2 linked regions of the Ovis aries genome follow. The protein of the gene in region 1 binds, or shares a complex with, the protein of each later gene. Links are inferred from orthologs where the notes say so. Each region holds a gene or a part of one and is shown on either strand. Other genes may lie near its edges.

Region 1 (4,493 bases):
AGGTCCACGTGAGGATGGAGGAGAGGTGCTGGGGGGGAGGGGGCAGAGGCAAAGCGTGAGCACAGAAGGACCCCCAGCAGACCCCGTGCCGGCACCCCGGTCACCGGCTCACAGACCCAGGAAGGCAGCTCCCCGCCTTCCTGTCCTTCTTGCAGACAGACTGGCCACGTACAACACCGCCTCCACCTGCTCAACCCTCTCGGTTAGTAACCCCTGCCTCACAGGGTTAACGCACAACCGCATGGGACGCTGGGTGATGGGTGCTGCGCGAGGGCGCCCGCACGCTCCCAGGCCTGCTGGGCTCAGCGGGCGGCTTCCTCGAGCAACACGCACCGGCTGCCCTTCCTCGGTTTATCAAAGCGGAAGTCCGCAGGGTAGAGGTGATGAGCCACCAGGTGCTGCTTCCGGTCTCTGCTGGTCCTGAACTTCTCCGTGCAGCCCTCCACCAGGCACTGGTACTACAGCAGAAACCGTGTCACCACCCTGACCCTAGGACCACTGCCTCACCCAGTCTGGACCCCAGGCTCCAGCACCATGAGGCACACGGCTCGGGGACAAGCCCCGTGATGACTGCCCTTGGCCTCAGGGGGCGAGCGTCACTCACCATGTCCTGCCGCTCGGCCAGGATCTGGAACAGTGAGTCGTGCCACTCCTGGATGTGGGTGTCCAGCAGGTGACCGGAGGGGAAGGCCCGCCTGCAGTAGGAGCAGACGTTTCCGTGCAGAGTGTGGTAGTGGTGCTCGTAGTCCTCCAGGGCGTCAAACGCCTGGCAGCAGCCGGCCACCTGACAAGTGAACTCAGGCACCCTGGCAGAAAAACGCCTGGTGGGGATGCAATTCCTCGGAGGCCAGGACGCCAGGCTCCCTGTCACCACTCCCCTTAAGTGGCTTCGGATAAAGCTGATAAAGCTTCGGATTTTCTCTTGCGATCCCAAACCCTGCCTTCATTACAAATACATCTTCACGGACAAGCAGGCTGGTGGAGAGGCCAGCCATGCTGGCTTCGTCGGTGGTCCCGAGCAGACACCAGGGCGGGGCGAGCAGAGGGAGGGGTGAGGAGTGGGCAAGAAGGGCCCTGAGCTGGGCCACAGCGCTCACCTGGGCCTCTCCGGCTCCGCAGCCACCTGCGTAATCACATCCTGGAGGTAGAGGTGCCTCTGCACGTCCCCGTCCTGCGGAAGACAGCTCTGAGGGCTCGCACCCCCGCCCGCCCGCGCCCCCAGGACCCGGGCCCGAGCCCTGCCCCCCAAGACCCAGGCCCCGCCCCCAGGACCCGGGCCCCGCCCCCAGGACCCGGGCCCCGCCCCCAGGACCCGGGCCCCGCCCCCAGGACCCGGGCCCCGCCCCGAGCATTGGCCCCGCCCACCTGGGATCCGCTCCGCCCCCACCCGCAACCGCCTTCGCTTTCCTCGGCTCACGCACCTCGAAAAACTCGTGCTCTCGCGGGAAGCGGACCTGGCGCGCCGCGAAGCGGAAGGGCGCGTTCCCGGCCAGGGCGTCCCGCTGCACGGGCAGCGGCGCGGCCGCCCCAGGGGCCCCCGCCAGGCGGGCGTGCAGCGCGGGCGGCAACTGCATCGCCCTGCGCGCCGGCGGCCGCACGGCCTGCGGGCCACCGTCCGCGAGCCGGCCGGGGCGGGGCCGGACGTGACGTCACGCGGCACTTCCGCCGCCGCCGCGGGCGGGGCCGCGGGCTTGGCGCGCTCGGGTTCGGGCTTCGGCGCGCGGCCGTGGTGAGTCGGCCTCGGGGCGGCCCTCCCGCGGGTGGCTCGCGCCCCTCTCCCCGCCCCGAGCCCCGCAGGCTCCTTCCGGCCCTCGTCGCCGTCGCGCTCGCTCCCCGCCGCGCCTCCCGCCTGAAGGGCTGCGCGGCCTCCGCGCCGGCCTTGTCTCCGGGACGGAGCCCGAGCGGTCTCCGGGAGACCCGCGGTTCGCTGTGTCGCTCTGCTGCGCCCGGCAGCCCAGTCTCTGTCGCCGGGGTCTGTGGGTCCGTGGGCGGCGGCCAGCAGGGAGAAGCACTCGGGAGCGTCAGCAAGATGCGCTAGACGCTCCTCGGAGCGGTGTCGAGCGGGCGCTGCCGCGCTGTGGAGGGGGCTCGGTCGGAGTGTGGCCCCCCGGCCTCTTGCCCAGGGAGGGTCAGGGGCGCCCTTCCAGCGAGGCCGCAGCCGGGAAGCCCTCTCAGGGCGGTGCTGCCCGCCGGTGAGAGCCGCAGAGCTCGCGGGAACTGTTCCCAAACCCAGGCTCCTGGGAGCGTCAGTGCTTGTGATGTGGGACGTCCGCTCTTTTCTCCTGCAGGTGTGGGGGTTCACGAAGGTAGTTTTTACACAAACGTTTGCTTCCGTGAGCTTTTTTCACAGCAGCCCTGTCCACCCGCTTGTGTCTCTTCCGCGGGCAAACGCAGTGTCCTTGGCATCCACGTGTCCAAAGCGGTCCTCGGGCCAGCTATTGCGGGACACCCCCAGGCCTTGGGAGCCTCTTAGAATGTGGGTGAAGCCCTTGGAGTCGCAGAGGCCCCGTGAGAGCTCTGTGTGTCTTCTGGTTCGCTTGTCATCTCCAGCGCCGCCTCGCTGCGCTCTGTGACTGGTCGCGAGGTTGCCGTGGTTCAGGCTGCTGGCCCTGCTTCCCGGCCGGTGTTCTTTTCCTCAGGTAACAGCCGTTTCCGGTGATCGGCCGTGTGCAGCAGCAGCGGTGTTCACTCCTGCTCCTTCGGTAGCGACAGTGCAGACTCTTAGGTGCCGCCTTGTGTCTCCACGACAGCTTCCTGAGTAGGGTCTGGTACTCATTCTCCTTGGGAAGAAGCCTACAGAGGGCAAGCTTTTTGTGCAGGGTCCTACAGCCTGGAAGCCCCAAGTCAGGGTTCAGCCTCAGCCCCATGACCGTAGTCCTGTGAGCGCCTCCTGATGTGAAAAGTACACGTGCTGGTGACTTACGTGCCAGCTCACCCTTGCTGTTGGCTTTCTGGAGATACTCTGCCTCTGGCCAGCGCTGGATGTCTCTGTTTGACGACCGATGTACCTGTACAGGGAGCTTGTTTTCCGTCACTTGGGGTTAGAGTCTCTCTCTGTGTGGTTACAAGTCGACACGCGCGCTGTGGGCATGTGTGCTGAGGCTCCCCCAGCTGATGTCTCACTCATAGCTTGTCTTCAGTGGAGCTGTTGGCACCGTGGTTCTAATCTTCTTAGGATCACGGAGGGTTTGAGGATCTGTTGAAAGACCTCCTCATAAAAATCAGAAATAATCTTGCCTGTAATTTCCCAGGGTCTCCTGTGGTACATGATCCCAAGTTATGAATCCTGCGTAGGTATGTCCAGACGTTTATGCGAAGCACGTAAAGCCTGCTCATGTTTGTTTTTTGAATCTAGTTGTCCGCCGTTGTCTTAGTGTTAATAATAATGGCTAACTGGACCGATCATCAGTGGGAGAACAGAAGTCCCCATGCAGGCCACTACTGTCTGCTTGGTGGGATCTCATTTACCGTTTTGGCCTGGAAGGTTATATATCCAGTGAGGAGACGTTTGGACATCTGGTTGACAGGGCAGGTGGGGCTGAAGGGGAAGCCCACCCAGCTACAGTGCGTGGTGGATGTGAACACCTGGCCTGGGCGAGCAGAGGCAGCATCTTGGTTACCAGAGTGGCAGCTGGGGCCTCGTGGCGGGAGCCAGGACGGGAAGTGGCTTAGGCCTGTGCAGAGCTCCCTGTGTGATCAGGACCCCTGAAGGGCAGGGGCTGCTGTGTCTGTACAGCTGGGGCCAGAAAGTGCTGGCTGCCAGCTGAGGGAGCAGCTCCGCGCTGGCCCAGGGCCCTGTGAGGCTGGAGTCACCCAGAGGAAGGAGGCCCAGGCCTTTAGCCCGCATCCGCTCTCTGTGTGTATGCCAGCCCCCAGCAGGGGAGCAGCCCGGACACTGGCCGCAATTGCCGAGGCTCTGAGTCAGGGCTCCGATTCCCCCAGAGCTGCCCACTGAGACAGCCCCCACCAGCAGGGGCGTGGAAGGGCCTCCCCAGGAAGGGGCCCCACAGGCTGGTCAGTGCCGGCTGTAGTGGGGTCTGCCCGGGGACACTGTGGGCCCACCAGGCTGGTCAGTGCAGGCTGTAGTGGGGTCTGCCCGGGGAAGCTGTGGGCCTGCAGGCTGGCTCATGTGACAGTTTGCCTTCTCAAGACCGGACATTGGCCAACTTTGATTGCTTTAAACTTTGTTTATAGGTAGGGATTTGTTTTTATAAATGGCTTGTCTCTTACCTTTAGGGGAACACGTTGTAATGTCTCAGAGCCAAAATCATGAGTGAATTTCGGATTCACCATGATGTCAATGAGCTGCTCAGCCTACTGCGGGTGCACGGAGGGGATGGTGCCGAGGTCTACATTGACCTGCTGCAGAAGAACAGGACCCCGTACGTCACGACCACGGTGTCTGCACATAGCGCCAAGGTGAGTGCCGCGCCAGGGCTGCGCTGGGCGAGGCGGTCCCGACCCCCAGGGCTGCGCTGGGCGAGGCGGTCCGG
Region 2 (4,373 bases), on another chromosome or scaffold:
GCCAAATAGGAAAAAAAAAAAAAAAAAAGGTGGGGGGCAAAGGAAATGAACAGGCAATTCCCAGGGGTCAGTAACAAGAGAAAATTGAATCAGCTTTGATTGTGATCCTAACTGGAAGTTACAGCTTTGAGTTATCTAGAGCTGACAAAAATGAAGATCTGATAACCCAAGTGTGGAACTGAGTATAGGGAAATGGAAATGCTATTGCTGGTTAAAAGTACAAGTTGGTACAACCATCTAGGAAAAAATATGCCAAACCTGGTAAAGTTGAAGCTGCACAAGCTCTTGGTAAATACTTTTCTTCAGGTTCACAAGTGGATAACTCCTGTAGGCATTTGATGTAACACCAAATAAGTGGAAACAATCAAATCACCCCTGTGTGGAAATAGAATAAACTGTTTTTATCCATCCAATTAAATACTATAAAACAGTTAAAAGGAACAAAATGAATCTACATGTATCAACATAGCTAAATCACTAAAGCTAAAGTAGGGTGAAAATAGCAAGATACAAAAGAATATTACACTCATACCATTTATGTAAAATTTCAAAATAAAAAATATATAGTAAAAAATCAAAATCATGCTTGCATGTTTAAAACTTTTTAAATTTTAAAATAAAATAGAAACCAAAATGAGATATCACCTCACATTCATTTAGATGGCCTATTTGTTTTGTTTTTTTTAAAGTAACAAGTGTTGATAAAGATGTGGAGAAACTGGAACTCATGTGCATTGCTGTGGGAATGTGAAATGGTGCAGCGACTGTGAGAAATAGTATGGCAAGTCCTCAAATAAAGGAAACACAATCCTGCCATGATCTAGCAATTCTGATTCTGGGCATATACCCAGAATTGAAAGTAGGCACTCAAACAAGATATTCTACACCCATGTTCATTAGCAGTATTAAGTAGAAGCACGGCAGTGTCCATTGACAGATGGACTGATAAAACACAAAACGTGGTATATGCATACCATGGAATATTATATAGCCTTAACAAGGAATAAAAGTATGATACATGCTGTAACATGGAGTAACCTTGATAACATTACCTAAGTGAAACAAGCCAGACACAAAAGGACAAATACTGTGTTATCCCACTTGTATGAGGCACTTAGTCAAATTCACTGAGACGGAAAGCAGAATGGTGATAAGGGCGAGGTTACTGTTCAACAGGTAAGAGCTTGGGAAGGTGCCAAAGTTCTGTAGGTGACCGCTGGAGACCGTTACAGAACAATGTACATGTACTTAACCTCACAAAATTGTAATTTAAAATGGTTAAAATGGTAAATTTTGTTGGATACATATAACTTAAAAATAGAAATTTAAAAGACGAAAATTGGCTTGAATTCAGCCCCTCTACCTATCAGAGCAGGCAGAGCCGCTCACCTACCTATAAGGCAGAGCGCCGGTGATTCCAGACACCTGGACGTCCCCTCCCTCACTTCCCTTCCCCCACACTCGGTCCCGGCGCGTCTCACTGCGCAGGCGCAGAGCTGGGGCGGGTGGGCAGGAGGGGGCGTGGCCTCACTCCGCGCCTGTGCGGAATTCCAGCTGCAACTGCTGTGGGGGAAAATGATGCCCAGGTTGGGCTCCCGGGCCGCCGGCCGAGAGGAGGCCCGCACTGCACACGCGCAGACCGAGCATCCGCGTCAAAAGCAGAAGAGAGCGCGCGCTCCCCACGTCCTGCGCGCCCAGCTGCCAAGCATTCGTCCCCGCCGTGACTCCTGCCCGGCCTGGCCAGGCTGGCGCGGCCTCATCTGAAGAGCGATGCCCCGGGAGATCATCACCCTGCAGCTGGGCCAGTGCGGCAACCAGAGTGAGCGAACGAGAGCCGGGCCCAGCTAGTCTCCGGTTCTGCCCCTTCGGGTCCCACCCGAGTGCTTGGCATCCTCCAACACCACCACCCCACCCCCGCCCCGCTTCCGTTCCATAACCCCCCTGCCCTACTGCGCATGATGACACCCAGCACGAGAGACATGCCTCTAACCCTGAGCTGTCACGTCGCCCAGATCCGGGCGTCTTGGGCCCACCCTGGAATGTGTGACAGTGTCTGAGCCTCACCCTGGGCTCCCAAGCCCTCTGCTAGAGGGCTTTAGCAGACCCAGGCGTCTCTCCCCATCCCCCAGTTGGGTTCGAGTTCTGGAAACAGCTGTGCGCCGAGCATGGTATCAGCCCCGAGGGCATCGTGGAGGAGTTCGCCACCGAGGGCACTGATCGCAAGGACGTCTTTTTCTACCAGGTGCCCCCAGCGACTTAGCCAGGGTTGGCAATGGCCCACGAGGCCTGAAGGGAAGGGCTTGGGTACTGGGAAACCCACTGGGCAGAGGAGCCAGGGCGGCTGGTTTGAAGGAGGAGGGCAGGCAGGAGCCAGAGTTGGGAGGACTGGAGGACTGGGCAGGCCCGAGCTGATTGGGCCCCTTCTGGACTCCTCTTGACAGGCCGACGATGAGCACTACATCCCGAGGGCAGTGCTGCTGGACCTGGAGCCCAGGGTGATCCACTCCATCCTCAACTCCCCCTATGCCAAACTCTACAACCCAGAGAACATATACCTGTCAGAGCATGGAGGAGGAGCTGGCAACAACTGGGCCAGCGGATTCTCCCAGGTATCCAGGTGGCCATCCGGGAGATTCTTGATGTTCCCTTCCTGGGGTAAGGCAAGCACAAGCAGTCTGGTGATTAGACCATACTGACAGTGAGAGACAGGGGACTACCCTGATAAGAGGGACAGACATAGAGAAGTTTATGCAAAGTAGCATTTCTGGGGTGAGGGCCACAGTCGGGGCTCTGCTTGAGGTGTCAGCAGTGTCCCAAGGTAGAGTTACTGGTGCCGAAAGGAGATGCTCTCCAGAAACGTCATCCTCACGTCTCTATAGGTGTCTCCTCCCTCCTCATCTCTCTATACAGGGTGAGAAAATCCATGAAGATATCTTTGACATCATAGACCGAGAAGCAGATGGAAGTGACAGCCTAGAGGTGAGGTTCTGCCCCTTTAGGGGAGAGGAGGGAGGAAGCTGAGAAGTGCTGGGGGAAGTCAGGAGGTTGCCTCCCTGGTCGCTCAGATGATAAGGAATCAGCCTGCAATGCAGGAGACCCAGGTTCAAATCCCTGGGTCGTGAAGATCCCCTGGAGAAAGGAATGGTAACCCACTCCATTATTGTTGCCTGGAGAATTCCATGGACAAAGGAGCCTGATGGGCTACTGTCCATGGGGTCACAAAGAGCCTGATCAGATGTGTGATGGGGGCAATTTAATTCATAACTCTTGAGTATCAGATGTGAGATGGTGAAGTAAATAAGGTTCAGTTTGTGTCCTCAAGAAGATCCTAATCTGGATGGCATCAGCTCCTTCCTTCTCAAGGAGCCTCACACTGGATGGATATAGAAGAAACCCTGAGACTTGAGAGGGTTGGGAGTGGGACATGAGACAAGCCAGAAGCCTCTCCCCCAGATCCCTGGAGACTGCTTCTCCATTCCTTCCCCTGCAGGGCTTTGTGCTGTGTCATTCCATCGCTGGGGGGACCGGTTCTGGCCTGGGCTCCTACCTCTTGGAGCGATTGAATGACAGGTAAGCCTGTGTTTGGGAAGAGAGCATTAGCTCTGTTTCCCTGGGTAATGTCTTTTCTTTTGTCACTTTTTCTTTTGGCTGAAAGCCCTATTACTACTGCCCTTGAGTTACAAGTAGGAACAGAGCCTGGCCTCCCAGGGAACATCTTGGAAGCAATAACTCCCAGGAAGCAGAGGGTCTGCATAGCTGGGGGAGAGGACCTAGGAGGGAGGGAGGTTTGATGCTTCAGGTTTATCTTTTTTGGCTTCTGGGCTCTAAAGACTCCATTCTGCCCTCACTCCTTTTGTGTAAGACCTTGGTGGCACTTGGAAAGGAACGGCCCCTGTTATTCCTGGAGAAGACAAAGAGGGGCAGTGATGAGAGTCCTTCCAAGTCACTCTGCTACCTGCCCGTTTCCCTCTTCCTCACCCCCAGGTACCCCAAGAAGCTGGTACAGACATACTCAGTGTTTCCCAACCAGGACGAGATGAGCGATGTGGTGGTCCAGCCCTACAACTCACTGCTCACACTCAAGAGGCTGACCCAGAACGCTGACTGTGTGGTGAGCATGGGAGGAGGAAGTGGGGCCTTTGGCCTACCTCCCCAAACCAGTGAGACACCTACACTCTGCCCTTCCCAAGCCCTTGCCCAGAGAACAGACAACCAACAAAGCCATACTTGGTGGCCCAAAGTATGAAATAAGAACCTGACCCCAAGCTTCTCATAGTCCCTTTAGGTAGCAGGACTCTCAACAAAGTAACACCCCCCTCCCACATGTCTCCACTTAGCCTATTTAATACCTACTCATGTTTCCATTCTCAGCC

What was found.
Region 2: TUBGCP2 (region 1) and tubulin gamma-2 chain share a complex: the UniProt entries of both Homo sapiens proteins name them as parts of the gamma-tubulin ring complex. The link is inferred for Ovis aries from reciprocal best matches to the Homo sapiens genes TUBGCP2 and TUBG2.

What each region holds. Positions count from the first base shown.
Region 1 is NC_056075.1:51,124,746-51,129,238, reverse strand, and holds the start of TUBGCP2 (gamma-tubulin complex component 2), read left to right. Parts: upstream 1-1,658; 5' UTR 1,659-2,192; exon of another isoform or gene 2,193-2,306; intron 2,307-2,352; exon of another isoform or gene 2,353-3,004; intron 3,005-4,236; 5' UTR 4,237-4,269; coding exon 4,270-4,419; intron 4,420-4,493. Other genes in the region: ZNF511 (zinc finger protein 511), read right to left, coding at 334-458, 605-806, 1,098-1,171, 1,422-1,574. UniProt on the Homo sapiens protein: Component of the gamma-tubulin ring complex (gTuRC) which mediates microtubule nucleation.
Region 2 is NC_056064.1:42,455,113-42,459,485, forward strand, and holds the start of tubulin gamma-2 chain, read left to right. Parts: upstream 1-1,529; 5' UTR 1,530-1,770; coding exon 1,771-1,819; intron 1,820-2,129; coding exon 2,130-2,242; intron 2,243-2,441; coding exon 2,442-2,609; intron 2,610-2,910; coding exon 2,911-2,979; intron 2,980-3,490; coding exon 3,491-3,570; intron 3,571-3,636; exon of another isoform or gene 3,637-3,984; coding exon 3,985-4,111; exon of another isoform or gene 4,112-4,373. UniProt on the Homo sapiens protein: Tubulin is the major constituent of microtubules, protein filaments consisting of alpha- and beta-tubulin heterodimers. Gamma-tubulin is a key component of the gamma-tubulin ring complex (gTuRC) which mediates microtubule nucleation.